Linked DNA regions of Notamacropus eugenii. The protein of the gene in region 1 binds, or shares a complex with, the protein of each later gene. Links are inferred from orthologs where the notes say so. Each region holds a gene or a part of one and is shown in the gene's direction. Other genes may lie near its edges.

Region 1 (7,055 bases):
ACTATAGTCATGCTATGTTGTCAGACTAAAATAAATGAAAGAAATCATATAACAAATCAAAACATGATACACAAAAACATACACATACACAAACATGGTCTGCTACATTTTGCGAATGACTTCCATATTTCTTTCTCTGAGTGTGGAAGGCATTTTGCCTTGAGAACCACCATTGGGATTTTTTTTTTTTAAGAAGTTCTTGCGTTATTACAAAATTCCAAGTCTACCAGAAAAAACTCTCGCACACTGTGGTCGTTGCTGTGCACAAAGTTCTCCTGGTTCTGCTCCTTTCACTCAGCATCAGGTCATATAAGTCCTTCCAGGCCTCTCTGAAGTCTTCTTGTTCATCATTTCTTATGGCACAATAGTACTCCATTACATTCATATACCATAATTTATTCAGCCATTCCCCAATTGATGGACATCCCCTTGACTTCCAGTTTTTGGCAACTACAAAGAGTGCTGCTATAAATATTTTTGTACATGTGGGACCCTTTCCCATTTTTATGATCTCTTGTGGATACAGTCCTAGAAGTGATATTGCTGGGTCAAAGGGTATGCACATTTTTGTAGCCCTTTGGGCATAGTTCCAAATTGCTCTCCAGAATGGTTGGATGCGCTCGCAGCTCCACCAACAATGAATTAGTGTTCCAACTCTCCCACATCCTCTCCAGCATTTATCATTTTCTTATTCTGTCATGTTTGCCAATCTTATAGGTGTGATGTGGTACCTCAGAGTTGTTTTGATTTGCATCTCTCTAATCAATAGTGATTTAGAGCATTTTTTCATATGATTATAGATATCTTTAATTTCTTCTTCCGAAAATTGCCTGTTCATATCCTTTGACCATTTATCAATTGGGGTCCAGTACGGATTCTTGAAGATCTAACATGGATGAAAATCCAGTCAAGGAAGTGGAGAAGGAATGGTTAGACTAAGAGGAGAAGAACCAAGAGAAGGCAGTCAATAAGCATTTGTTAAGCACTTACTATGTGCTTATGATACAAAAAAGGAAAAAGAAATTCCCTATTCTTAAAGAGTTCACAGTCTAATTGAGGTGACAACATGCAAACAATTATGTATTATATACAGGATAAACAGGAGATGATCAACAGAGGGTAGGCATTAGAATTAAAGGGAATTGGGAAAGGCTTCCTTTAGGAAACTGGATTTTAGCTGAGATTTGAAAGAAGCAAGGGAAGACAAGATGCAGAGATGAAGAGGGATAGCATTCCAGGTATAGAGGGCAAGTCAGTTAAAATATTAGGAGTCTGAAGATGGAACATCATGAAAACACAAAGATGACAGAGCATTCAGGAGGTGTTCAATTGTCTCAAATGCCGTAGGGAGGCAGAGAAGGATTAGTACTGAGAAAAAAAATCACCAGATTTGGCAATTAAGAGATCACTTTGAAGAAAGTAGTTTTAGTTGAGTAATGAAGTTGGCTACCAGATTTCAGTGTTTGGAATAGATGAGAAAAGAAGTTAATGTATATAGATTTTTCAAATATTTTGGCTAAGAAAGAAAGAAGAAACAGGATCATAGCTAGCAGAAATGGTAGAATATAGTAAGGGTTTCTTTTTTTAAGATTTAGGAAGATATGGGCATGTCTGTGGGAAGCAGGGGAAAAAACTAATTTTTGTTGTTGTTCAGTTGTGTCTGACTCTTTGTGACTCCATTTAGGATTTTCTTGGCAAAGACAGTGGAATGGTTTGCCAATTCGTTTTTCAGCTCATTTTACAGATTTTGAGGAAAATGAAGCAGTGAAGGGACTTGCCCAGGTTTACACAGCTAGTGTCTGAGGTCACATTTGAACTCTGGTCTTCCTGACTCCAGGCTGCATGCTCAATCCACACACCACCTAGCTGTCCCAAGAAACAAGATGGGATTTTATTTTTAATTTTTTTTCTCATTTAATAGTATTTTATTTTTCATTTACATGTGAAGATGGTTTTCAACATTTATTCCTGTAAGATTTTGAGTTCCAAATTTTTCTCCATCCCTCCTTTCCCTCCTCCCTTCCCAAAACAGAAATCTGATATAGATTATAGATGTACAATCATGTTAAACATATTTCCACATTAGTCATGTTGTGAAAGAATCAAAACAAAAAGGAAAAAGCACTAGAACGAAAAAAAACGAAACAAAAAAGAAAAACTAGTAGGGAGATATTGAAGGTTAAAGACAGGGATAGTAGGGGCAATCTGCTGTAGAAGATGGAGAGGTGATGGGATCAAGGGACATGTATTAGCTAAAGATTAGCTTCAGCAAGAACCACAAGGACCCCAATAGAGCCTGGAGTAAAGGGAGAAAGAATGGGGGATGTCAAAGGGTTATGAGATAAGAAGGATGGAAGATAGAGTCAAATTGTAAGGCCTTGATTTTTCTTCTTTGGACCCTACTGTATAGGGTAACGACTTCTGCTGAGGAGCTGGGAGAAAGGGAATTCTGCTTGAGGAGAGATTCAGAATATCTGCTGCAGTGAGTGGGTAGACAATAAGAGAGGAGTAAAAGGATTGCCTTGCTGCAGTGAGAGTCTAGTTGACATCAGTTAATATAAACTGGTAGTGGATGCAGTCATTGTAGTTACATTACCTCCTCCAACTTCATTGCAAAGTTGGGATTTGACAGGAGTATCTGAGTATCTATCTCTAGGACAGGGAATTCCACAGTAGAGGTAATGTACTGTTGGATGGGTTATCTAAGGGGTAAATATGGGGAGGGAGTGAGTATATGCTGAGTTAGAGGAGTTGCCATGAGTTGGGATCGGTTTAGGAAGAAAAAGGTCACTCTCAGAGACAGGGATTTCAGAATTCTTGACAGTGGAAGAGAAACATAGGGGTGATAGCAAGATCAAGGGCATGACCATTCCTGTGTTTACTTAAGATAGAATGGAGAAAATAGGGCACGGAGAGTTGAGAAGACCGAACTGCTAGTTTACTATGTGTGAGGTCACATTACAACATATTTGTTGAAATTCCCTGGGATAAAGGCAGAAGTTGGGATGGAAAGAGAGCCTGTGAGACAGGTACTGAACTCACCAAGAAATGAAGGCAAGTCAGTTACCAGGCTTTCAATAGGATGAAAAACTTGGATAAAGTGAACCTCAAATGGAGAGAGGTGGCTGAGCGAGGTCTGGAGGTGGTGTTGAGGGGCTATTCACTCACTGGGGAGGAAGGCTGGAGAGAAGGATCGTCAAGAAAGACCCTGAAGTCGCACGCAGGTCGGGGAGCTACGGGAGGATGGTCCCTTATCAGAAACAAGGAAGTTGGGGCGGCGGTCGGAGACGCCTAGGGGGCACAGTCAGTAGGAAATAGCCACTAGGTAGCTGGCGACTCGCGACTGAGCTCAGAGGAGAAACTGAGGCTGGATATGGATCACAGGTGCCTAGATTACAACAGTGCTTCTCCCGCGATCGCACCCAAGCGGAGGAAGGCCCTGACCGGACAGGCAGGAATTTTACATTAATGAGGCTGAAAAAAAGGCACGTGGTGAGAAGATTCTCCCCGGGAAGTCCAGGTATCTGTTGGGACCTTCTGCGGAAGAAATGGAAGGAGACGCTCGGTTTGCGGCGCAAACGAAAGCCCTCTGAGAAACCAAGCGCCGCCCCACACCTTCACTTCATCAGTAGCCTTTGGCCGCTCCACGCAAAAATCTCAAACGGCAGTCTCAGCATCCGGAAGATGGGACAAAGGCAAGCGGAAATCCGGTGGCGCACAGTGCAGGCCGGGATCTGTAGGCAGTGGAAAAAAAAAAAAATCCAGCAATTACGCAATTTCCCGGAAGTTGCCGCACTGATCGCTGGGGCTTGTAGTAAAAAGAGAGAAAAATTCTTGGCTCCTGGGTGGAAGGGCTGACTCACTTGGGTTTCTCTTTGTTTTCAGGAGTCTCTCACAGTAAGCATCGCAAAGCACAACGATGCAGTTGGCTTACATCACCTTAAAAATTTCCTCTCCTCCTTCCATTTTTCCTCCCTGTTTCCATCTGTAACCTGCTTCGGTCCCTTTAATTTAAATCAGTTTCCCATGGCGCATTGAGCGCGGGGCCCTTGTGATTGGTCCGGAGAAATCCCACGTCCAAGATTCAAATCGTGGCGCGTGAACGTTTGTTCTGCCCCGGAGAGGAGGAAGCTGGTCCCAAGCGGCGTTAACGAGCGGCTTCTCTGAGTCTGGGGACCCAGAGTGAGGTGAGAGCCCCGCTGGGGTCTTGGGCGGGTGGGACTCTCGTCGGCCTCTTTGGTCGCGGGATGCTGGTGGAGGGGGTGCTGGGCGCTCCCTGGACGGGCCCGGGTGGAGCCGAGGAGCCGTACGCGCCTCGAGGTCCGTCCCTGACCCGCCCTTGCTTTTTCTCGGCCCGGTTTTAGGTTCCTCTGCGAGTCTCGTCATGGCTTTTCAGCCGAGTTCTGTTGGCAAGAAGAAGGATGAGAAAGGAAAGAACATCCAGGTCGTGGTGAGATGCAGGTAGGAGACGCGAGATCTCACCCCCGCGGGTTCGTGTCCTTAGGTGGGGCCAGAGCCCGGCGGCATCTTGGGGGCCCGCGAGTGTTGACATTTGCGTTGGAGCCCGCGCGTCTTGTTATTGAACCCCGGAAAACCCCAGGATGTTTATCGGCCTACACCTGCCCGGGTGCCTCTGCTGCGTCTGTCAACTGAAGCTGATCCGATCTGGCTTCCCAAGGGCGGCGGGGACGCTCCCAAGTGCTACGCGTTTGTGGCGCTGTCGGGTCGGCCCCCTGCCTGCCACTCCTGGGACGTTCGGGGCCAGATCCCCTTCCCCTCCCGTCGGCGCTGCCCGATTGTGGTGCTGTTGGAGACTTTTATTGAGTGCCTTTGGTTAGTTTATTTAAGGACAGTTTGTGCTGGAGCTGGAGCTGGAGTTTTTGTCCCAGCACTTAGCCTAGGACGTACACACTTAATAGATGCTTATCGATTGATTGTCTAACCTTTGAGAGAGAGAGAGAGAGTGTGTGTGTGTGTGATTACCATTTTAAGGGCAGCTGAGTGGTGAAATGGGTAAGGTACCCTGCATGGAGTCAGGAAGACTCCTCTTTCTGAGTTCAAATCTGGCCTCAGACACTTACTGGCTGTGTAACCCCGGACTAGTCACTAAACTCTCTTTGCCTTAGTTCTTCGTTGTAAAATGGGCTGGAGCAGAAAATGGCAAACCCCTGTTTGCAAAGGAAACCCCATATGGGGTCAGGAAGTCAGACAGGACTGAATTACAACCAAAGCTTTGTGTCCGTGGGCAAGTGACTGAAGCCTCAGCTTCCTCATTGTTATCTGTGTTCTCTTAATTAATGTAATTCTCTTAATGTAGTAACTGAAAAACCACTAGTTTTACTGTTAAGGAAGCTGCAGCTCTGGCAGGTTAAGTGACCCTAGAGGCACACATAGGAGCAAACATCAGATTTGAACCACAGTTGCCTGACTCCAAAGTCAGGGCTCCTTTTGCTGTACCAGAGTGACATAGTAGGACCAGTTTATTTTGTTTGAAGCAGAATGGAGGGGCATTTGTGGTGCATATTTTGACTTAAAATATGAAGTGGGTAGATGGCTCATAGTGGCTAGAGTGCCAGAATCAGGAAGACTTACATTCAAATTCAGCCTCAGGACACTTTCCAGTTCTATGATCCTGGACAAATCATTTAACCTCTATTTGCCTCAGTTTCCTTTACTGTAAAATGGGGATCCAACAAGATAATTTTTGAGCTGTATAAATGTTAGCTATTATTCCCTTTGAAGTATGTAATAAATTGCACGTATTACTTATGAAACTAATCACCTTTTTTTAATTAGTCTTGTTATATCACATAAGACTAAAAGCCAAGGACAAAGGATAGTGACTTGAGAGAATGTTAGAGTCTAGTGAGTGTTTATAGGTATAAGGGGTAGAATTTAAAAAAAAAATAGATTGAAGATTGGGTAGAGAAGGGATGCTACTGCGAGCAAGAATCAGGGAAGGGATATATATCAAGTAGGGTTGGCCACCTTTTCAACAGGTACTGGAGTAGAGAAACCATAATATTATTTTAAGGTGTAGTGATATAGAAAAGCTAAAAATAGGAAACTCGTAGTACACAATCTCTATTTTCTCAGTAAAATATGGTGCAAGATCCTTGACTGTGACAGTTGAGAAAGAGATGGTGTGGGAGGCTTGAATAAAAAAGTAGGTCTGGAAAATCCTCACTGATAGAGAATTGATTAGACAGAAGTAAAAGACTGACTTATCATGGTTTTGCCCTGTGGTTCATGCATATTGAACTACTCAGTCCCCACGATACACCTTTACCTTCCACATTTGTATCTTTGTTTAGGTTGTTTCCTAGGTCAGGAAGTGTTTTCCTTTTCCTTCTTCACCTGTTAAATTCCAACTTTTATTTAATATTTTTCCCAATTACATGTAAAAACAATTTTAACATTTTTTTTTTCAAATTTTGAGTTACAAATTCTCTCCTTCCCTACCCCCTGACTTGAGAAGGCAAGTAATTTGGCATATGTTATACATGTGTAGTTATGTAAAGCACATTTCCATGTAACTCATTCTGTGAAAGAAAACAGACAAAAGAACAAGAAAAAAAAAAGAAAGTAAAGAAAAAGTATCTTTGATCTACATTCTGGCTCTGCCAGTTCTTTCTCTGGAGATGGACAGCACCTTTCATCATAAGTACTACAGAATTGTCTTGGATCATTATATTGTTAAAAATAGCTATGTTATTCATAATAACAGCAATATTGTGTCATCTGCTGTGTATAATGTTCTCCTACTTTTGCTCATTTCAGAGCATCCTGCTCATCATTTGTTAAAGCACAATAGTATTCCATCAAAATCATATACAACAGCTTGTTCAGTCATTCCTCAGTTGATGGATATCTCCTCAATTTCCAATTCTTTGCCACCACTAAAAGAACTACTATAAATATTTTTGTACATGTAGGTCCTTTTCCTTTTTGTTTTTTATCACTTTGGGATACAGACCTAGTACTGGTATTGCTTGGTCAGAGGATATGTATACGTAGTTTTATAGCCCTTCGGGCATAGTTTAAATTGCTCTCCA
Region 2 (6,939 bases), on another chromosome or scaffold:
CTACAGTGAGGATCAAATAAGATGACATTTGTCAAGTGCTTTGCATACCTTAATATACTGCACAAATGCTACCTATCATTATCATTGCATATTAAATCTAAATTCCTCAGTCTGGCATTCAAGGCTCTGCTGCTTTCCTTTCACTCTCCAAGCTCATGTCTTAATATTCACTAACACAGATCCTCTGCTCCAGGGAAGCCTCATTACCATCCTCCTCATAGATTTTCCTCTCCTAGAATCTCCTTTCCCCCTCCTCCTCCATCAATCGTACACTTTGTCATTTGAAGGAGGTGATGGATGACTTCTACTGGAGCAGTACCAAATGGCTCATCTAGCCAACCAGACTAGAAAAGCCTTGTGGGAAGGGACAGAAAAGTGATATAATATATTGGCAAGGAGCGTCAAAACTTGAGTTAAGAGACCTGGATTCAAAGCTTGCAATAGACGCTTACTACCTGGATAAGAATCCCTGGAAGCTTCGGTTTCCCCATCTATTATAATGGCAAGAACCATGACAATTGGTTGGTGACGGTGACAATGATAGTTAGCTTTTGTATAGGGCCTTCCACTTATCGCATCTGACCTTTACAATTATTTTCTCCATTTTACACTTGGGGAACCTGAGGCTGCAAAAATTTGAAGTGACTTGCCTTGGAAGGTGAAGTGCCTAAGGCAGGATTCAAACTCAGGGCTTCTGACTCAAATCCAGAACTCATCCACTAACCTGACTAATTTATAGATGCAACTCACAGATCTAAGAGCTAGGCTAACCCACTCATTTTGTATATAGGGGACCATAAATGCCAGACTAAAGAGTTTAGATCTCATTTCACCAGTAAAGGTGGGGCCATGAGAGGTGATTTGTTGGGAAGAAATGTCTTTTTATACCTTGAAGGGCTACTGAAATGTTAGTGCAAAGGATCAGCGGATTTGGAGTTCCAACTCCCTTCTTTGGCAGATGAGGAAACTGAGGCCAAGACAAGATCAAAGTTACAAACAGGTAAAGATCACATAGCAAAGCTTGGATTTAAACCCAAAAGCAGTGAATAATTCATTTATTCCTTCTGGTTCCTCACAAACTTATTGGAAATTTTAGTCTACCTTGGCCTGTCTTCCCTTGCTAATGGAACCAAATACCATGGACTCTCTGGCCCTTGTTGTAGCACCTTCATTTTCATACCATCACATTCCAGCCAAACTAAGCTCCTGGCTTTTCCCTCATTTCATTCTCCACACTGGGCATTTCTTCTGTGCTTTGAATGCATTCTTTCCACATCTCTACTATTTGAAATTCTTTTCTTTCAGGATTCATTTCAGATGTCATGTCTCCCCAGCTGAAAGTGATTTCCCTCTCCCCAAATTTTCTTGAGCCTTAAGGTAGTGTGGGACCTTCCTCCACCTGGAGGCTACCCCAGGTTCAAGCTGATCTTTGAGTCAATATCTGTGTAAAGCCACAGTCCAAGAGCCCCCACCCATGATCTCCTTTTAACAGACCAAACCAGATTACACATTAACCAAAGCGAAATGAATTTAAATAAAACAGAAAAGCAAAGCAAATAAGAAGGAAAAGGCCTCATACATTCAGGTCTGTGACCTCACTAAAAGACCTCTTGCCTCTAAAACTGCTACTTGCTGCTTTCTCCTACGGCTGCTGATAGCATCCTCCAGGCTGCTTTATCAAATTCTGTGATATTATCTGCTGGTTTTCTGCTGAGCTCCGCCTGCCATCTACTGTATTTTCCCTGAATTGCAGAGGCAGGAGAGTGGTCTCAGCTTTTTAATGAAATAATCCAGTGCCTAAAAGAACAGGCTTTTCTCCTGGTGGGGTACACAGATACTTCCCTTAGGTGTTCGTTTCAGGATTTCAGGGGGTCCATGAACTTAGAAAGTAAAATAATTACATGCTTATTTTCACCAGCTTTTGGTTTCATTTAGAATCTTGTTTTACTTTATGCATTCACCAATATGATTTTTCTCAGAAAAACCATGGTGGGTTATGCTAAATTGCCAAAGAGGTCCATGATATTAAAAAAAAGATGGAGATCCTCTGCCTCAGAGCTATTTTAGCATTTCTGTGAGTGAGATCGCTACATAGTGGACAGGCAGCTCAGCAAAATTTCCCTCGGATAAAATTTATCTTCTTGAATGACTCTACTTCCCCCTCAGGGGCAGCTTCCCCAGGCCTACCTGACATGTGTGCACTGGGGTGAGTGAATTCTTTCCAACTTCTGGCACAGATGACACCCTGGAATTTTACTTAGTAAGACGGAGAAGAGGGGGTTGAAGAGGAGCTGGCCCTCCAACAAAGCTGGAGTTTCAGCTAAGCCAACCACTGAAACTTATCCCACCCAACCATTTCCAAGGCTTTAGAGTCCTTAACAACTAGATCAGGTTCAACCCTCTCATTTTACAGAGAAGGAAACTAAACCCCAGAGAGGTTAAATCATAGCTAGGTGGCACAGGACCTGGAATCAGGAAGACTTGAGTTGAAATCCTACCTGAGACACTCCCTAGCTATGAGACAGTGGGCATAGGACTTAATCTCCATCTGCCTTAGTTTCCTCCTCTGTAAAATGGGAGTGATAACAGCATCTGCCTCCCCAAGTTATTGTGAGGATCAAATGAGTTAATTAATATATGTAGAGTGTTTTGCAAACGTTAAAGTGATACATAAATGCTGGCTATTATTGCTCAGATCATTCTGATCATCATTGCCCAGGGTCACATTTACAGAGTCTGTAAAGTCCGTTTATGGTCATAGGTTCACGTTATTATTCTATATTATGTTATGTGTTGTATAATAATATCAAATATCCTATGTTATAAATATGTATTGCCTGATTGATTAACAGCTCCTCTGTTCCTGATCTGTGAAATGAGGGGGTTGTCACAATCTGCAAGTCTCCTTTTAGTTCTAGATATGAAAAACACTCTGACTGGAGTCAGCTTTGTGACCCTATGCAAGACTCTCTGGGCCTCAGTTTCCCCACCGGAAAAAGATGGGAGTTTGATGAGATCTGTTCCAGCTTGGGATTTATGACTATGTAAACTTTAAGGCACTATATAAAATCTCAGCTATGACTATTACTCCCCCCCCACCTTGGTCAAATCACTCCCCCTCTCAAGGACTCAGTTTCTCCATCTGTAAAATGACCAGATGGCCTCTGAAATCCTTCCTCCAAATCTATGATTTTAATTCACTTTCAGTTTCCTGGGAATTGGTTCTTTCATCTTTCCATTAGAGGACCACCTTCCAGCTCTGATTTGAAGTCAGTCTTTCTGGGCTTGAGTTTTCCCAACGGTAAAATGAGGCAGCTGGACTGACCCCTCCTCCAGCTCCCCTGGACCTTGGATGGTCCAAGGTGAGCCCCTGGGACCACAGGACAAAACTGATGCTTGGATGCAGACGTGGGGAGCTGGTTTGCCTGACCAGGCAGATTTGTTACGAATTTTGTTTTTGTTTCTCTTTTTCTATAGTGAGGGTGGGAAATAAAAATAATTGCGGGTTTTGGGTGGAAAAAACAAAATCTAAATGAAATGATTGATTACCAATCAGAAATACAGTTAATGGCAAACACACTAAAACGAGTGAGCTCCAAATCTACAAGCTCTCAAGGCAGCACCGTGGCACAGTTTACAGCATCACCAGTCGGGGAGTGGGGGGACATCAGAGACCACCTGCGGTCCTCGGCTTCCAGACCCCAGAGCTTTCCAGCCTCCACGTGGCCTCGCCTTCTGGGTCCGCCCCTGAGCTCCAGCCCTGCCCATAGCCCCGCCCCCGAGCTATAGCCCCGCCCCTGGCCGCTCCCCCGACCCGTTGTGGCCACGCCCCCAACCGCAAACACGCTACGCACGCGCCTCCTCTCTGGTGACGTTCCCTCCCTCCGTCATCGCGTCTCTCAAGTCTCGCGGGATCTCGAGCCAGGTCACGCGAGGCCGCGGCGGGGTCGGGAGTCACAATCATGGCGGCCGAGGAGGCGGATGTGGATATCGAGGGGGACCCAGGGGCGGCGGCTCCTCCTCCATGCGGGTGAGGCCGGGGCTGGGGCCGAGCGGGCCGGCGGGGGGTCACGGTCCCGGGGCGGGCGGCGCCGGGGCGCGCGGGCCGAGCGGGCCTCCCCTTCTCCGCCAGTGAAATGGGAAGATCCCACTGGTGTGCCCGTCACGCGTGCCCTCGGGCCGGCCCCCTCCCCTATCCTACACTGATGGGGGGGCCCCGCTCACCCCAGAGAGGGCCCATTTTACAGATGAGGAAACTGAGGCAGGCCCCTTCCGCTCTCCTAGCCCTTCTCGTGACCCTTGGGAGCGAGGCGCCCTTGGGGTCCCCCCTCTCCACCTGGCCACCCCTCGGCATACAGCAGGTGCCTAATGAAGGGATGGCTCTGTCCTGGGTCCTCCTGGTGACGTCAGTGTGGGCGTGGCTGAGGGGGCCGCCCTGGGGTGGGGGTGGGGGGGGTGAAGCGGGGCCAGACCAGGGGGCGGGGCAAGCCCAGGGGGTGTGGCCAGCGCGGAGGGGCGGGGCCTGGTGTCCTCTCTCCTCCCCTGCTCTCTGAAGCCTGCCTCGCAGACGCCCTCATCAGTCCTGCCTCCGCGCGGGGCTGCTCCCGGGCCCGTCCCGGTGGGGCCCGTCAGGCCGCTCCTCTGGAGTATTCCTGAGGCCCTCGGTAATGTGACTTGTGGCTCCTCTCTGCGCCCCTCTGGGGGTTTTCTGCTGCCAGGATGAGTGTCCTGGGGGTCCGAGGAGCGCTTCCACGACTTCTGCTGCGGACGCTGAGCCCCCTTAGTGTCCGGTGCTTCTCTCGGGGCTGGTGACCCACAGCCAGGAACGTAGCAGAGCCGCCCTCAGGGGTGTTGCGTTCAGTTCTGCCGAGGAGCCAGGAAGGACGACCCTAGAGAATCTGGAGGCTTGCCCTCCAAGTGGTCCTGGGTTACAAGGTGTCAGCGCAGGGAATGGGCCTGAGAGCGATCTAGTTCTGTCTAGTCCAGTGTTGTCCTTTAGCAGGTGAGGGTCCCTTTGGTCCTGTCCATGATCTGCTGCGGCATCTGGGTGGCGGTGGACAGAGCTGCAGGCTTGGAGACCCTTCACCCCAGCCCTGAATGCCTCAGTTTCCTCACCTGTCAAAATGAGCTGGAAAAGGAAATGGCAGTTACTCTGCCAGGTGGAGTCACAGAGAGTCCGGCATGACTGAAACAGCTGAACAGCAGCTCTGTGCTAGAACTCAAGTCAAAGCCCCCAGATTCTGAGATCCTCATTACATCCATTCCAGCTCCTACCCTCAGGCCCTTTGTCCTGGCCCTGGAGAAGGGCACTCAAATCTCAGTGGTCCGTTGGAATCCCAGGTCACAGTTTGAGGGAAGGCTGGCCTGGCCCCAGCCATGGCAGCATGCAAAGCTGTCCCAGCTAACAGGGGGTTTGGGTGCCAAAGGTTTGGAAGATATGGGTTCTAATCTTAGAATCAGGGGATTTACAGCTGGAAGGTATAAGCTAACACACTCACCTCCCCCCCATAGAAGTTTGCCTGAAGTCACACAGTAGATGATCCAGAACTAACACTCAGACTAACCTTTTCATTTCACAGATGAAACAGTCGGTGCCATTTGGATTAAGCAGTTTGCCCAGGGCCACACACAGCTCTCCTTGTTAGGAAGCCTTTGTTGACATCCAGCCTCAATGGGCCCCTTTGCCAACTTGTCTCCTAGCTCTGGGTTCTGCTTCTGGGGAAAACAGAGCCATCTAATTGCGCTTTCAGATGGCCAGCCTTCAAATGCTTACAGACTGCTCTCATGTCCTGCTTGAGCCTCCTCCTTTCCAGGCTAACTATACCTCCTTCCTTCATCCTCTCCTCTCACATGGCTTGGACTCAAGGATCTTTGCCCTCTTCTGGACAACTCTAACTTCCCAGTGTCCTCCTTTACTGTGCTTCTCAGAACTGAACGCTGTACTCCAGATGTTGTCTGACTAGGGCCAAGTATGGTGGGACTCTGCAGGCATCAGATCCCGGTGGCCTTTTTGGCTGACACGTCACACTTCTGACATTTCTGGTTTTCGTCATGCTTGAAGATGACCTGTTGGTAATGGGTCTGTGTTCTTGATGCTTTAAAAACACTCAAATTGTCATCAGCAGCCTTTGCTGTGTGCTCATCTTCTAATACCATCGTATAAGTCATGATGGAACAGCAAGGGGAGCAGCCCTTGAGTCTGGGCTCCAGCACTTAACTGACTGCATTTTCCTCTCTGAAATGGGGATGGGTGGACTTCTAATAGCCACCTCTTGTGGTTGTCTTTGTGAGAAAAGCCCTTCATCTGTGTGAATAGAGTTCCCTTTGGGAGGCCCCAGCGTGTGTGGAGGGCTGGCTTCTGGCTGTGGAGGCTGGTCCAAAGCCCACAGACCAGATCAGCTGCTACATCACAAGCAGTGAGAGGAAGCTGTCAGGCATGGTGCAGCCCAAGAGAGTCCCCAAGCAAGCTCCCTTTTGTAAGCATCTTTGTGCCCATTTTCTTATCTATTACAGAAGCCATGAAAATACAGCCTCTGGTTTACAGCAAGATCATTACCTTGATTCCACCTGGAGAACTGATAATGGCCTCATTGTAAGTGCTTTATAAGAAGATTGTGTCATTTGCTTTTCACAGTATGCACATGAGAGATGCTTTGTATCTTGGAATACCATGTTTTTCTGCGTTTGTCCTTGTTCTCAGCCATTGTAGATAACACCCTTAGGAGATTTTCCTTGGTTTAAATTCTATAAGAAACCTTATGTCTTTTGATGTTGAAGAAGGTCATGCTGGGATGTTTCACTTAGACATCACACTTTTATATCTGATATATCATGGAAGATATTCTCAAATCAATTAGTGTAAAAAAATTTCTTTTCTCTTTTAATAGCCTTGGACTCTGGATAATACCATCAGTGCTGAAAACAGGGCTGTCATCGAGA
Region 3 (8,007 bases), on another chromosome or scaffold:
TCTGAAAATCATCATGAAATTTTTGGGCCCTCAGTATCAGAGAAGAAGTCTGAATTATTATGGTATGAAAAGATAAAATATGTTGATATTATATAATGCTACACATAAATTTTATGCATTTCTGAGTTTCTAAACTTTTTCTGTCATCTGCACAAAACTCCCAAAAAATTCCTTTTAATTTCTTATGATGACCCATGATATATCAAAACCACAAAGGAAAGTTGTGATGAAGGGCTAACTCTGTGTATATGTACATGCATGTATATAAACATATGTATGTATGTATACACACATACACAATATACATACACACGTATATGTTTTCTCATTTGACCTCATATTGATAATAGGCAATTTTATAATCTTCATTTTACAGATAAAGAAATTGAGTCTGAAAGCAAAGAGATGATTTGCCAGGAGTCACAGCAGCTGTCTGAGGCCAAATTATCTGTTTCACAGAGGTGCCTAAATCTGGGGGATGGGAGAGAGATTGGCTATCTTTAAACTGGGTCAGAGAGAGATTGAAATAGGAGCAAAGATAGCCCACTTGGAACTGAACATGCCATTCTGGAGCTAATATAGGATTTCTTTGTATATATGTATTTTTTTTTTATTTTACTTTTCAATGAGTCAGTCATTAAACAATGGAATAGTAGTTCCAAATTCCCTTAAATTCTTTTGTATTTTTTTTAAAGATAAAGCATTTAGATGAGACTTCCTATTTATAATGCACACACATATGTATGTACACATACATATGTATATTTTGTATATTTTTACATGGGTACATGTTGTTTTCCTCATGGAAGGTAAGGGGAGAGACTTTTCATTTATACCCTATATTCCGAGAGCCCGACATCACATATAATAAATGCTTTTTGAATTGAATTTGGAAAAACAAACAGTTTTTTATCCCATTCAGTGTTAATGTTGCCAGTTTCCATATTGAGGCTATCTGTATGTGATTCAATGATTGAAAGAAAGAAAGAAGAAAGAAGTAGAGGCCATTGTACCAGGTATGCAAATGATATTGCATTCTCCTAGGATCCAGATATCCAGGGCTAAGGTTCTTTTCATATGGAAACAGCCTTTATTGGGAGGGGATTTAATTATTGTGTGGTACTTCCAGTGTGAAAACTCCCTCTACCTCAGAGAAGTGATAAATGATCAATAATTTATAGTCAAAGATAATGACTGGAGGAGAGAGGGAGGCCTGAGAATTTGTGCAACTCTGCCTCACTTAAATCGAATTTACGCATGAATTGAAAGACATCGCCATACCATGCTGGAGCATTGACAAGTTGGTGACTTGTTCATGACCACACAGCTAATATCTGTCACAGGAAGAATTTGAACTTGTCTTTCTGACTCAAAGGCTAATTCTCTGCTGTGCTGTGGCAGGGGTACTTATCTATTGCTCTCTGGGTATATTCATATTATCTATACTTCATGTCAAAGAATAATTTTTGAACTGGATTCACTTGGAATTCTGACCGCTGTTTCCTAAATGTGTGAACTTGGGGGAGGCTCAACTTCTCAAAGCATCAATAGTCTTCATATGTAACAAAAAGGTTGGACCAGAGAATTTTGTAAGATTTCCCCAGCTCTTTTTGCTATGGTCCCATTATAAAGATGGAGAAATGCTTCTCTCCCTGGGTTGGCATTTGTTTGGCAGCTCTGGCCCATCAGAAGCTGATCCTCTCCTACCTAAGGGCTCACACCTCATTCCTACTCATGTTCTCTTTCTTTCAGCAACACTGATAAATAGGAAACATCAGTTTCTTACAATCAGAGATAAGAAGCAGGTCTGGAGCTCAAATCGTGCCTCTGAATTTTCCTATTTTTGTGACCTTGGGCAAATCACTTAACCTCTCAGTTTTCTCATCTATAAACTGGAGGGTTGGATGGAATGACCTTTAAGGGTCCCCAGCTCTAGCTCTGTGCTCCTATGTTGTTGTTTAGTTATTTCTGATTCTTCGTGACCCTGTGGACCACACTGTCCTTGGGCTTTTCTTGGCAGGGATATTGGAGTGGTTTCTTATTTTCTTTTCTAGTTGATTAAGGTAAACAGAGGTCAAATGACTTGCCCAGGGTCACATAGCTAGTTATCGCCCGAGGCTGGATTTGAATTCACGTGTTTCTAACTCCAGGCCCAGCGCTCTATCAATTGAGCACCTATCAGCCTCCACGTGTTCCTTATATAAGAAGATACAAATTCTTTTGCTTGGAATGAAAAGCCTTTTGTAAGCCGTTTCTAGCCTATCTTTCTGCACTGATTTCCCATCACTTGCCCTCAAAAACTCTATAGTCCCATCCTATTTTCTCACACAGAATATTCTATCTCCTGCTTTTGAACAGGCTATTCCCAAAACCCGGAATGCACTGCCTCTTCACCTCTGCCAGTAGGAATTAATACCACTCCCAGCCTAGCTCAAGTGCTAGGCCTCCCACTCAGATAAAGCTTGAGGTCTTTTCTGATCCCAGACCAGGCTACTTTGTCCTCTTCCCATTGTAAGCTCTTTGGAAAGCCCCAAATAGCCTCCATATTTATGATCAACACCTTAGCACAATGCATAAGTAGCGCGTGCTTAAAACATGTTTATTGAATCAAATGGGGAAAAAACCTGGGCTTTGAAGTCACTGGACCTGGCCTCAGCTCTGACTACAACTCATTACCTGTGACCTTGGGCAAGTGTCTTAGCATTTCTGGGCCTTAGTATCAGCATCCAGAAAATGGGGATGGGGCAGGGTTGGACAATGACAACTTCCAGCTCTCAACCAATGCCCTCAATATAGAGGCTAGAGGCTTTTATCACCTGGCAACTCCCTAAATGCTACTTATGGACTGATGATGATGAGGGAGAGAAGCTGCACCCTGTATCTTCAGCCCCTAATACGTTTCCTACATGCCTTGGATTGCAGGCATTTGCCCTCCGATCACGTGTCATTCTGAGGCTGCGAGATATGTCAAAATGAAAATCCATTTTCAGCTGTCAGAAATCATTCACCATCCAAACATAATGACTTTCAGGGTGGATTGAAATGGGCTTGTTGAGCTTTAGCTACTCTCTATCTTGGAAGCAGGCTGCCTCTCAAACTTTCTCTGTGGCTTCTAGCCTCAAACATGCATACTGACTTTGGTCAGGTGTAGGGTGAGTCAATACTGTAGTGATTTTGGAGTGGTCTGGCCATATCCCTGATAGGAGGAAGTCTTACTCCATGTGTGAGCTGAAGAATTTCATATGGCCAGTGCAGAGAATGACAAGAACACGCCAATAGCCTTCAGTACCGCAGTAAGTTGGTTAACATTGAAAAGTAAAGTGTTGTACATCAGCCAGGAAATAGAACCTTGAACTTTTCATAACATCTTATATTATGCATTCTAATTGGCAGCAATTTTATACTACCTTTTAAAAGTTGGGGTGGAAGGTATTTCCTTTTCTATTAAAACAATCTTTTTTTTTTTAAAGCTCTTTAAAAAAGAACAATAAGAGTTAGGGATGGAAAAGGATAGTAAGCTGAAATGGGAAAGTTGGTGGTCTTTCCAGAGTTAAGACTCACTAGTCTCCTCATCTATAAAATGGAAACAATAATAGCACCCACCTCCCAGGGTTGTTGAGAGGATATGATGGAAATACTTGCAAAGCGCACTACAAACCTTAAATCACCACATTAATACTAGCTATAATTCTCAAGGAATGCAAAGAATCTGCTAAAATATTCATATAAATTCCCTGTCCTACACTATGTGCTTGTAAAAGATCCAGAGAAATAATGAGTAGTTTTAAAAGTAAATTGGAAAGGCAAGTCGGAAAGAAACCGGCTCACCTGCAAAGTCAATAAAATGTCCCAGTTCCATCTAATTAATGAAGGGCCATTAAAACTCGTTTCAAAAACTGTCTCCATCCCAAATGAATCGTGAGCCCTTGAAGATCAGACAGCGAGGGTTTAGCGAAAAGGTCACCGGATAAAAACGGACACAGAGAAGTTGTAGTCGTGGCTCTGCGCCTGACTTTGCTGTGTGTCCTTGGGCGGGTGGTTTGCCCTCTCTGGGCTCTTTAGTCGGGAGGGTCGCCCACGTCCCTCCTGACGGACAGGCTCTGAAAGGTTATTTTTTAATCTACGTTCCACTAAGTCTTTAGCTCTGCGTTCTATGTGGCGCTGTCAAGGCCACTTCAGACAGGCACTGGGACAAAAAGACCAACTTTTTTCGTGTAAAGTGCACTTTTCCTTCTGTTGGCACAGTTTAGGAACAGCCGAGGAAGTTTTCGTAGCCTTCCTACAAGAAGCGCGGGGCGGGCAAGCTGGCGCCCGGAGGAGCCACCCGGCTGTGCGGTGCCCCCGACCCGGCGCAAGATGCCCGGCCCGCTCGGGGTGCGTGTGTGCGGGGAGAGGCGCCGCCGGGCACCCAGCTCGGCCCGCGGGGCGAAGCCTCCGGCAGGTGCCCGGGGATGCCAGCTCCGGCTCCTGCCTCGCCCCGCCACCCTTCCGCTCCCCGCCCAGCCCCGCCCCCATCGCGGGCGCTCGGGGACCCAGGGAGACCCGGGTCGTCTCCGCGGGGAGCGGAAGAGGAGCCGCGGCCGGAGCCTCGGGCTGACCCCCGCGCGCACGCTCCGGGGCCCGGGGCCGAGCATGTCCCCGGCAGCGGCGGCGGCTGCGGGGCGCTGGCGCGGAGCCCAGTAGGGCCCCGGGGAGGAGACCCCGGGGAAGGCGGCCGCGGGGCCGCTAGCGCCCTCCCTCCCGGGGCAGCGGCGGCGGCGGCGGCGGCCGGGCCCGGAGCCAAAGGGGAGCGCAGCGGAGCCGCGCAGCGCAGGGCGCGGGGGAGGAGGGAGGGCGGGAGGGAGAGGGGGAGGGGAACTCCGAGGGGGAGGGAGCGGAGCGGGAGGCCAGGCCCCGAGGGGGAGGGTCCCTCTCGCCCTCCCCGAGCCCACAGGCGCCCAGGGAGACCCTGGCGGCGGCGGCGGCCACCAGCACTCTCCGCCTCCTGCTCCTGCCGGGCTCCGCGGCGGTGGCATGTCCGAGGCCGGCGGGGCCGCGCCGGCCGGGGGCGGGGGCGGCGGGGCCGGGGGGCAGCAGCCGCCGCCGCCCCCTCCCCCCCAGCCGCCGCCGCCGGCGCCCCTGCCCCCTCCGCCGCCGCCCCCGCAGGGCTCCCCGGCCGCCGCCGCTCCCGCCGCGGCCGCCCCCGGCCCCGGCCCCGGCCCCGCCGCCTCCTCCGGGCCGGCCGCCGCCGAGAGCCCGGGGGCGGGCAGCGGCGCCTCCACGGCCCGGATCGCGGTGAAGAAGGCGCAGCTCCGCTCCGCTCCCCGGGCCAAGAAACTGGAGAAACTCGGCGTGTACTCCGCCTGCAAGGTAGCGTCCGCGTCCGCCCCGGGCGGGAGCTGCCCTGCCCCGCCCTGCCCCCCCCCCGGGCGATGGCGGGGCCCGCACCCGGGCCCTCCCCTCCCCCCGCTGCCCCGCGGCAGGACCGCTCCGGGTGGGTCGGAGCCGAGCCCTGCGTGGTGCGTGCGTGTGTGTGGTGTGTGCGGTGTGTGCGGTGTGTGTGTGTGTGTGTGTGTGTGTGTGTGTGTGTGTGTGTGTGTGTGTGCGCGCGTGCACGGCGCGGGGGGGGGGGGCAGAAGCCGAAGCCCGCGGCGATGTTTGCTGGGGGGGGGGGGGGGAATGACGACTGGCCGCCCCAGGGGTGGGCGGTGTAGACAGTGGCCCGGCCGAGCGGCCGCGCCGTGCGCTCCTGCCCTGCTCCTCCGGGCGGGGAGCCGCTGCCAGCCTGGGGGGCTCGGGGGCTGGGTAGCGGGATGCCAGCGCACCTTAGCTTTGCATTAGGGTGGGTTTGCTTTGTAGACCCTTGGGCGTGTTGATAAGCTTGGCTTGGCTGGAACAAGTCGCTTCCCTCCTCCTGTGTTTGCCCCCTTTCTCGAGGGCGCCACACCACGCCCCTGTGGATGGTCCGGGACCTGCCCTGCCCCCTCCATCCAGATGTGGCCCGGGGTAGGGATCGTAGTCCCAGAGCTGCTGGAGGCCCGTGGCCCTTGGCACCGTCGTCTTTGTTTTGACAGGGTGACAGCTGAAGGAGGCGGGCCTGTGGCTGCAGGTGGGGGTGGGGGGAGGGTGTTCTGGTTAATCACTCCCATGCCTGGTACTTGGGAGCCAGAGGCCAGTTTCCTAGAATGGCCCGGGCTGGTGGTGGGATGGTAGGGCTGGGTCCTCCCAAGAACACAGTTGTTAATCTTAATGATAACCCAGGCATATTTTAAGTATTCACAGAACAACCTTAATTTGAGAGGCTAGCCGTCTCTCTTCCCCAACTGCATGGTAAACATAGTCAAGAGTTGGGATTCTGGGAGTTTAAAGTCCTCCGATGTCCGAGTTCAGCTGTCTTGGACCAATCTTCTCTCCCCAGTTTACCCTGCCCTCCTGCCAAACTGTGCTGGGCATCACTCTCTGTCTTCTCTTTCCAGTTCGTTATTTCAGTCTCCTGTTTTGAAGACTTTGATCACTTCTCCTCACGCTGAAAGTCAGTCTGAAACTTTAAATTCCACTGTGTGTGCCAGGTTTTGAAAGACCTGGGTTCAGGTCTTGAATTTGCTAGTTATTATTAATCAACAAGCAATTGCCTACTTTGTGCAGCTTCACTGGATAGTCATGGAATCTCCGTGGCCCTTATTAACAAATATGAAAAATATGCGAGTTGGACTAGATGATCTAAGGCCCTTACCCCACTAAAAACTCAGGAATTTAAGAACCTGGGATCTGTAGCTGCAAAAATAATAATAATAATAATAATAATAATAATAATAATAATAATAATAATAATAATCCACCTTGATTAGGGGGCTTCCAGAGCAGAGCTGCTTCCTCTCTGGCTCTTTTTCTGCCTAGGACTTTTTTCAGGGAAGAAAACTAGTGTAGTGGGCAGTCAAGATAGGTTGAAAACCATTGGAGGGATTGAGAGCTGTGTGAATACATCATTCAATTCAGATTGTACTTAAGAGAGTTTTAGGTACAATCTTAACTGAAATGGAATCTTAATCCAGTTGAAGCTTGAATCTTAGTTCAAACTGTTAGGAGCACCCACTTACTGTGTTCCAGGGACTGTTTTGGTGCTAGCAATAAAAAGCAAACACAAACAACTCAGCAGTTCGTAAAGCCTGTCTTCCAGAAGCCTCCAGTCTCAAACATTGCCAGTGAGGATAGAAATGCCAGCCATGTCAAGTTAGACTGTAAGGGAGATGCACAAAAGAACCAAGAGAATTTATAAGGGCTTCTCTCATTCTTATAATTCAGCATTCTCACGAATGCCCTTGATTTGTCCAGCATATAGAAAAGGGTCATTTATTGTACTTCTTAAAAAGATTCTAATTCTCCTCTAAGTGCCACTGCTTACAAAGGACAGAAGGGACAGCTTAGAACCCATTAAAATACCAGCCCCTTAGGCAGTCTGGAAAGAAAAGCAATCAAGAATGGGGAATTGGAGGAGCAGGGGAGGAGACCCATCAAAGACTCCTGAAAGAGAGATACTTTTATTTTCCTCTTTAGGCTCAAATGAAGGCAAAACAAGGCACTGATTTTAGCCTGTAGTCTGCTTTTTCCTCCCCTCAGAAGAAGGGTAGCCTACCATATCTCTCCTAGAAAAAAGAAACTAACCTGCTTTGCAGGGTACCGGTAGAATTCTTTTGAATGGTGTCTTGGCAAAGATCTCCAGACCTTCACCCTAGTTCTTCTCCAGCTTTGTGAATTGGTCAACTCTCTACCCCAAGCTACTAGTAGAAGAGATCTAGGTCAGTGATAGTGTACCAAATTTGGGACAACTTGAGAAGTGATACCTTAGAGGGAAGTAGTTGGGAAATTTTGACTTAAATTTTTTGAGAGTGAACCAGGCAAAACACATTTAAAGTTTGGTGCCTCTAGTTTTTAGAATAGTCATTTCTGGATATACTCAAATCCCACCCCTAACTTTTTCCCCTTTCCTTAAAAAAAAAAATAACATCTATAAGGAACTCCAATGGGCAG
Region 4 (7,127 bases), on another chromosome or scaffold:
CTGGGGGTGGAAAGGAGAGAAATATGAGAGCAGAGAGGCGTCCTGGGCAGGCAGGCAGGAGGATCAGGACATCTTCTTTTGGGCAGGGTTAGAGAGACACAGGAACAGATGGGGTCAGTGGGTAAGTCCAGGGGGCCCATCACGTTTGTGGGGAAAGTAAGCCATCTGCCAAGCAGAGCGGTGACACAGAGTAGGAGGGGGGAAAGAGGAAGCACCATTGTCCTGATTGGCCAAGGCTGTTGTCCTTCCTTTAGGGTTCTTCTCCCACTCCCTCGGGTGAATGTGGGGGGCAGAAAGGCCAAAGAGGCTTCCAAACCAACAGAATGCCAAGAAAGATGGAAGGAGGAAAGGGGAATGAAAGGAAGGCGCTGTCCAGGGTGCTCCTTGGTCTTATCTGGAGTGGCTGCCGGTAGGCCCGCCACCCACCCGCCCACCCATCCACCCAAGGCCCCGGCGTGGAGAGAGTGAAGAGGCAGGATTGATGCCCCCTCCCCCCAGCACCTCCGGCGGCCCCACCCCTCCGGCAGAATCCCGGGTGGGGCCCGACGATACAGTGGCCCCGCCCCCGGGGGGGGGGTGGAGAAATCGCAGCGGGAGGGGGGCTGGTGAAGGGAGGCAAATCCCAGCTGGGGGGGAGAGATCCCGGCAGTCTGGGGGGAACGGGAGAAGCGGCAGACAGTGGGGGGGGGGGAGGGGAGGAAGTAGACTGCGGGGATGGGGGTGGGGGGAAGGAGAAGAGATCGCGGTAGAGGGGAGGGAGGCCGGCAGCCGAGAAGGCAGGCCGGTTACCAAGGCCTGTTCCCCGGGGCCCGATCACCGCAGTCGCCGTCGCCGTCCGGTGCTCAGGGAACTCCCCCCGCCGCCACCCAAGGCCAGCCCCGGCGCCTGGAGTCTCAGCCCCTCCACGGGCTGCTTCGGTCCCAGACACAAGATGGCGGCCGCCGCCGCAGAGCCGGAACAAAACCCGCGGGTGGCTCCGCCCCCTGACGCAGGCACCGCCCAGTCCGAGGCCCGCCCCTCCGCCGGCCGGCAAGCCCCGCCCCCGTCCCAATTCCTCGCCCCCGCCGCAGGCTACAAAGCTGGCACATTCACCGAGAGCAGGGTTCCGGCGGCTTGGGGAGGGCACAAGCAAGTCTTTCCCCCGATCTCTTCGCCCCAGCGCCCGAGCCAATAAACGTGCGCCCCCGTCCTCACCCCCAAACTGCTCCCGCCCTCCTATCTCTGAGTGACACTGCCAGGTACCGCGCCAGGCCTCGCTCAAATCCTCTAGCAACGACGCCTCGCGCCTGCGCGCCCCGAAACGGGCCAAAGCCTACCCCTCCCCCCGCGGACCAGGCGCAGGTTCGCGCACGCGCCAGCCTGCGGCCCGTCCGCCCAGCTCGGCGAACGCCGGCATCCCTCCTCCTAGTCAGCTAAAAACGCACGCAATACCCGGTGGGGGGAGGGGGGAAGAGAACAAACGCACCTCCTACATTAAGACCCGGCCCAGATTGCCCCGCCCCTCCAAGAAGTCCAAATGGGGGCAGAGGCCCCGCCCCTAATGAATAATGGTCAAAAAAGACCCCGCCTCCTACGCCCGGGCAGCCACACAAGGACGAAACTCTCATCACTACCCCCCCAACTCGTGCCGTTTCATAAAAGCTCTCCCTGGGTCCCCTCTACGCCAACGCCAAGTCTCTCAACTCACCCCCTCCTCAGGCCCGGAGCCGCCGAGGCCTAGCCTTCCCCTAGAGCTGGAGGCGGTGCTGGAGCGGTAGCCAGAGCTAACTTTGCTGCTGCCGAGGAGCCCCGGCTTGCGTAGCGATGGGCTGAGCGCGGAACTTGGGGTCCCCGGGCCCGGAGCGGAAGGTACTATTTGCGTCAAGGGGGAAGGCTCACCCCAAATGCGACTCTCGCGGCCTATCCCCTGCTCTGACATTCGAGTGCACCCCATTTTCACCTCATGTCCTGTCAGCGTCCTAGTTCACATCAGATTCTGACTCTTTTTCGCCCATTCCAGAAAAAAACCGGCCCCAAAGTTACTGAAAGAATCCCCTGGTGGAGCACACGTGGTACGATCCAGGCTGGTCGCCGTTGCGGAGCCTGCTGGGAATTGTAGTTCAGCCCGCGCTGGCGCTTGACTGGAGCACGTGGTGAACACTATCCTAAACTGGGCCAGGGTGGGGAAGAGGTTTAGACATCTGTGGCGGAGACAACTTCCTACAAGGGCGCGAGCATTAGGGAAGGCTGGGAAATAGGGCGGGACCAATTTTGAAAATCATTCGTGGAGACTGACTGAGTTAAAATTCAGGTTCCAGAGACATTGACAGAAGTGGGGGGAAGGTACCTAGAGTTAAAGCTAAAGTGGGGCAAACCTAGAGTCTAAAACAGAAAATGGATGAACAGACACCGGTACAGAGACTAAAATGAGAGCAAAGATCCAGACACAGGGCAACTAGAGACTGAAAACCTGAAGGGAGGGGGGGAGAGGGGAAGAGACAGATCTAAACCCCAAACTTCTCTGCATTATGCGTTTGAGATATTTCCGGGGTTCTGTACTGAGTACAGATGACAAAGGTAGGGTTTGTCTGAGAGAGCAGGTAGAGTAAGACTTTGGACACCATCCAGTTCGATCCTCTCCATTTTAGAGATGGGAGCTTAAGAGATCTGTGGGTGACACGGTATTGTCTGTCTGAGGTAGAATTTGAACTCAGGTTTTCCTGATTCCAACTCCAGCATTCTACCCACTGTGCCAGCTACCTGCCAGATGAGAAATCATAGATTTAGAAATGGAAGGGAAGTTTAAAGTCATTGTATCAAACTCCACCATTTTAACAGTTGGGGAAAGGCACAGATGCCAAAAAGGTAATTTACTTGACCAAGGTCATTGTGTTCCTTCGTTGCTGAAGAAGACCATGCCACCAGAGAAACGATGACGTGACTTGCCCTTGACTTTGTTTTGAATGAGAGAGGGCTGTGCAGGTCACCAGCCTCACATCTCCTCCAGAACCATTGGAATCCTGGGTCATCTTCAGTCATCCTGAGGAATGTCTGGTCACTGGATTCATTAAAGGGGCCATGCCCTGGCTACTGCTTAAACAGTCCTATTCAATGAATGGGCATTAGTTCACCCTAAGTGAATACCTGCAAAGACCTTGGCCTAAAGGACCCAAGGTCCTGGGTCGTCTCCAAGATCATACCAGCAGTGTTAGAGGCTATGATTTGAACCCATGGTTCTTTGACTCATTCCTACTCCAATTCATCTTCCTCGGACTCCCGCCATGTATGCTCCATAAAAGAATCTCTCCAATGATCGTTTTTCTAAGAGCTTTCCTCAAAAGTTTTCCTTATTAATCATTTGGAGGGTAGAGATACTTCACGGTGTGGGTTCTTGCACCATGGAAGGCCTGGCTTTTCAGTAAGGTGCTCTGAAAAGATCGAGCCAACGGTCTGAGGACCAATATGCTTTACAATCCGGAGGAGCTCATCTCCAGTAAGTGTACTATTAGGCTATGGACTCCTTTTCCCTGTGCCTGGGACACAGTGCCTGTCACATAGTAGGCACTCCATAAGTGGCTGTTGACCTGAACTGAAAACAGTGGAGAGCCAAGAGAGACAAGGCATAGTCTCTACCAAAGTTCCTGAAAAGAACGACTAGGCATAGAGAACGTAGAAGGCAGGGGGTCAAGCCAAGCTAAGGAGTTTAAACGGAAGTGCAGCAGCGCAGCACGACCATTGTCGCTTTCTCCAGTGGCGCCAAAAAGGTCTAGTTGGAGCACGGTTCCTCCCTAATGGGCAAAGGGGCGGAACCCACTCGACAGTCTAGTCCCCCTCTGCCTTCCCCCCACCCCCGCTGGAATCACGTGAGGCGGGACTCCACCTCCTTCCCCCATGGACGTGGTGCAGGTTCGGCCAATCGCCACGCCCTCTGTGGAAGCAAGGGGCGGGACTCGGCGACTCAGCGCGGAGAATGCTCGGGAGGGGGCGCAGCAGCCCAACGGAGCGCGCCGGGGCCCGGGCCGGCCCGGGCCGGCTCGCGCCTGGGCTGCTGGGCCGGGAAAGGGAGGGGCGGGGCGAGGGATGGGCGGAGCTGCCGCCGCCGCCATCTTCGCTTGGTAGTTTGGGGCCAGCCAGGGGGAGGCAGCAGTGGGTTGCCCTGGGGCGGAGAAAGGGGAGAAGGAGAAGGAGAAGGAGGGCGGCGGCGGCGGGGGCGGCGGCAGCTTCGCCGGAGTCGTAGCCGCGCTTTCCTGCGGGCCCGGGCCCGGCCCCACTGACGGCGGGCGCGCGCGCGCGTGCCCGCGAGGGAGGCGGTAGCAGCGGCGGCGGAGGCCGGGTGATGTGCCCGAGCCCTCGCCTCACGGTCCGGACCCGGCAGGTGAGCGGGCCCGGCGGGGCTCGGGCTGGGCCGGGGACGGGGGAGGGGTCGGGGGCCCCGACCCGGCGGCGGCCACGGCGCCGGAGGCCCCCCGGGGGTGGGAGTGGGGGGGTGAAGGGGGGGTGCGGAATAGAGGCCGAGTCGCCGAGCGGGCGCGAACCTGAGCGAGCGTGCGCGCTCCCGGCGGTGGCGCCGCGCTCCTCTCCCCCTCCCCTCCCCCCGCCGTCTTTTCCCTCCTGCTCCCCCCTCCCCTTCCCCCAGCCCCCTCCTCCCTCCCCAGAGGCTGCGGCCGGTCTGGGGAGGATCAGATGGATGAATGACAGGAGCAGGCGGCTGGAGCGGGTCCAGATCGGGGAGGGCAGCTGGCATGGCCGCTCCTCTGGCCCGCTGGCCCTGCCATGTGCCAGACCCTGCCCCCGCGGGGCCCTTTCCCCTAAGCCCGGCTAGGGCAGCGCTGTACCTTGGGGGGCCGGCCAGGGCAGAGGTCAGGCTGATCGGGGGTGCCCCAGAGTGGGCTGCTCTGGCCCTGGGTGCCCGTAGCTGCTTCCTACCCCTTGCCTGGCGGCTTTTGAGAAGCCCCTTTATTAGCCTCACCTGCTGGGCGTAGGAGAAGACGAGGCAGCAAGGCCTTCAGCCCCGTCTCTGGGCCCCTGCAGTCAGGGCAGCTGAGCCTCTGTGTTTTCCGACAAGTGGAGCTGGAAGGAAAGTGCTGTGTAAACTTACCAGCTGAGCTCTGGAGGCCTGAGGGGTGAGGGCCATTCAGGACCTGCCTAGGGGGCGGGAGAGGGGATTGAGGGCAGAAAGGAAGGCACCTCCCAAGGCCAGGTGGCCTTTGCTCGCCCCTTTGGGCCACACCTGGCAGCACGATGGGCCAGGCCTCGGTCTTGTCCTCATAGAGTTCCCAGTCCCATGTGGCCCCAGGTTCTAGGGCAGCCTTCTCAGAATTCTGGCTTTACAGAATAGTAATAACTGAAAATAACAAGGGAGGGTCCCCCCCCACCCCCCAGTCTGGCCATGGAGCCCGGAGTTAAAAACCCCTGTTGTTCCAGAGGGGACAGGTGCCGGAGTTAAATATGTTTTGAAGGACACACAGGGGAGGGGTGCACAGGAACCTTCCTCCCCCACCAGAGGCAGCAGTGATCCTGGCCCTCACTCCAGAGTACAAAGGGGCAAAGCATCCAGATCAAGGAAAAGCAGAAAAGACTTGGGGGCCAAGGCTGAAGCCAGGGAGGCAGCATGGTGGCCTTGACCTTGGACTCTGGCTGTTCTTGGCAGCTGGGGGGCCCTGAAAGTCATATCCAATATTTCTCAGGCCTTTTACAATTCATTCACATGGACCCACACATCCTCCCCAGCAGCCCCCTGAGGTATGGAGTGCAACTAGTTCTAATCATCGTTTTATACAAGAGCAAACCAAGATGCAAAGATGCTTGGATGTTCTCAGCCAAGATACAGTGGCAGCTCTGGCTCTGACTCCTCATATCTCTCTCTCTCTCTCTCACTCTCTCTCTCTCTCTCTCTCTCTCTCTCTCTCTCTCTCTCTCCCTCCCTCCCTCCCTCCCGCCTTCCCTCCCTCCCTCCCTCCCTCCCTCTCTCCCCCTCCCTCCCCCTCTCTTCCTCTCTCTCTCCCCCTCTCTCCCTCCCTCTCTCCCTCCCTCTCTCTCTCCCTCTCTCTCCATTTCCCTCCCTCTCCATTTCCCTCCCTCCCTTTCCCTTCTCTCTCTCTCCTTTCTATCTCCCTCCCTCCTTTCTCTTTCTCTGTCTTTCCCTCTCTGTCTTTCTCCATCTCTTTGTCTCTCCATCTCTCTCTCCCTCCTTTATCTCTCTCCCTCCTTTCTCTTTTCTTTCTGCCTCTCCCTCTCCATCTCTTTGTCTCTTCATTTCTATCACTGCCTCCTCCCTCTCTCTCTCCCTGTCCCTCCCTCTCTCTCTCTCTCTCTCTCTCTCCCTCCCTCTTTCTCTCTCTCTCCCTCTTTCTCTCTCTCTCGCTCGCTCTCTCTCGCTCTCTCCCTCCCCCTCCCCCTCCTCCTTCCCACTTTCCCATTCTGGAGACAATCCAGATTGACTGCTGCTAGTTCTCGTTTTCTTCCCCTGTACCAAGGGTTAGGTAGCCCGCCCTGCCTGGATGGGCTCAGGCTGCCCCTGACCTCTCCTTTTTCTTTTCTGTCCCTCAGATCCCTCACGGGAGTTCTTGTGCAGGCTGGCGGAGCATGGTGGCAACAGCAGGGCTGGTGGCAGCTGGGAAGTGAGGCGGAGCCATCGGCCCAGGAGCAGGCCACCCCCAGACATGGAGTATGAAAGACGGTGAGACTGGGGAGAGGGCTGTCCCAAAGTGAGAATCCTTTGGGCCCTGGCAAAAACAAGGGGCATCTTTTCCCCTTGATTTTTCCCAAGGTTGACTTTGGGTTTTGGCTGGAGAGGGGTAGGGTTCCAAAACTGAATGATCTGGGATCATAATATTTTTCTTGGAAAGAGATTCAGAGACCATGTGAGATAGTAAGGTCTGATCCTGGCTACCCCCCATTCCTGAGACTTCTTGGCACTGGGCAGTAGCTATCTTTTCTAGAAAGCTCTTTGTACCCAGACAAGCCACCTTGGGCCAGTGCCATCATTCCCCCAGGATGCTCCAACACAGATGACAGGGCTCCGAGGAGCTTGACTGGGCCTTGAGAGAGAGAGGGCAGAGCAGGAGGCAGCAGTGCTGTGTGTCAGCTCCTCTGCCTGTCCCCAGCTGCCTTTGGCTACATGGGCATGTGATGGCTCTCTTTAGTAA

Evidence for each region.
Region 2: KIF11 (region 1) and MYSM1 share a complex: the UniProt entries of both Homo sapiens proteins name them as parts of the large chromatin remodeling complex. The link is inferred for Notamacropus eugenii from reciprocal best matches to the Homo sapiens genes KIF11 and MYSM1.
Region 3: KIF11 (region 1) and KAT2B share a complex: the UniProt entries of both Homo sapiens proteins name them as parts of the large chromatin remodeling complex. The link is inferred for Notamacropus eugenii from reciprocal best matches to the Homo sapiens genes KIF11 and KAT2B.
Region 4: KIF11 (region 1) and RBM10 share a complex: the UniProt entries of both Homo sapiens proteins name them as parts of the large chromatin remodeling complex. The link is inferred for Notamacropus eugenii from reciprocal best matches to the Homo sapiens genes KIF11 and RBM10.

The regions. Positions count from the first base shown.
Region 1 is NC_092872.1:209,280,277-209,287,331, forward strand, and holds the start of KIF11 (kinesin-like protein KIF11), read left to right. Parts: upstream 1-4,051; 5' UTR 4,052-4,187; intron 4,188-4,364; 5' UTR 4,365-4,384; coding exon 4,385-4,461; intron 4,462-7,055. UniProt on the Homo sapiens protein: Motor protein required for establishing a bipolar spindle and thus contributing to chromosome congression during mitosis. Required in non-mitotic cells for transport of secretory proteins from the Golgi complex to the cell surface.
Region 2 is NC_092873.1:518,846,459-518,853,397, reverse strand, and holds the start of MYSM1 (deubiquitinase MYSM1), read left to right. Parts: upstream 1-3,921; 5' UTR 3,922-3,962; coding exon 3,963-4,030; intron 4,031-4,546; exon of another isoform or gene 4,547-4,664; intron 4,665-6,513; coding exon 6,514-6,592; intron 6,593-6,887; coding exon 6,888-6,939. UniProt on the Homo sapiens protein: Metalloprotease with deubiquitinase activity that plays important regulator roles in hematopoietic stem cell function, blood cell production and immune response.
Region 3 is NC_092874.1:34,104,281-34,112,287, reverse strand, and holds the start of KAT2B (histone acetyltransferase KAT2B), read left to right. Parts: upstream 1-4,998; 5' UTR 4,999-5,013; coding exon 5,014-5,349; intron 5,350-8,007. UniProt on the Homo sapiens protein: Functions as a histone acetyltransferase (HAT) to promote transcriptional activation. Has significant histone acetyltransferase activity with core histones (H3 and H4), and also with nucleosome core particles.
Region 4 is NC_092879.1:101,863,685-101,870,811, forward strand, and holds the start of RBM10 (RNA-binding protein 10), read left to right. Parts: upstream 1-4,107; 5' UTR 4,108-4,354; intron 4,355-6,528; 5' UTR 6,529-6,641; coding exon 6,642-6,658; intron 6,659-7,127. Other genes in the region: UBA1 (ubiquitin-like modifier-activating enzyme 1), read right to left, coding at 1,688-1,933. UniProt on the Homo sapiens protein: Binds to ssRNA containing the consensus sequence 5'-AGGUAA-3'. May be involved in post-transcriptional processing, most probably in mRNA splicing. Binds to RNA homopolymers, with a preference for poly(G) and poly(U) and little for poly(A).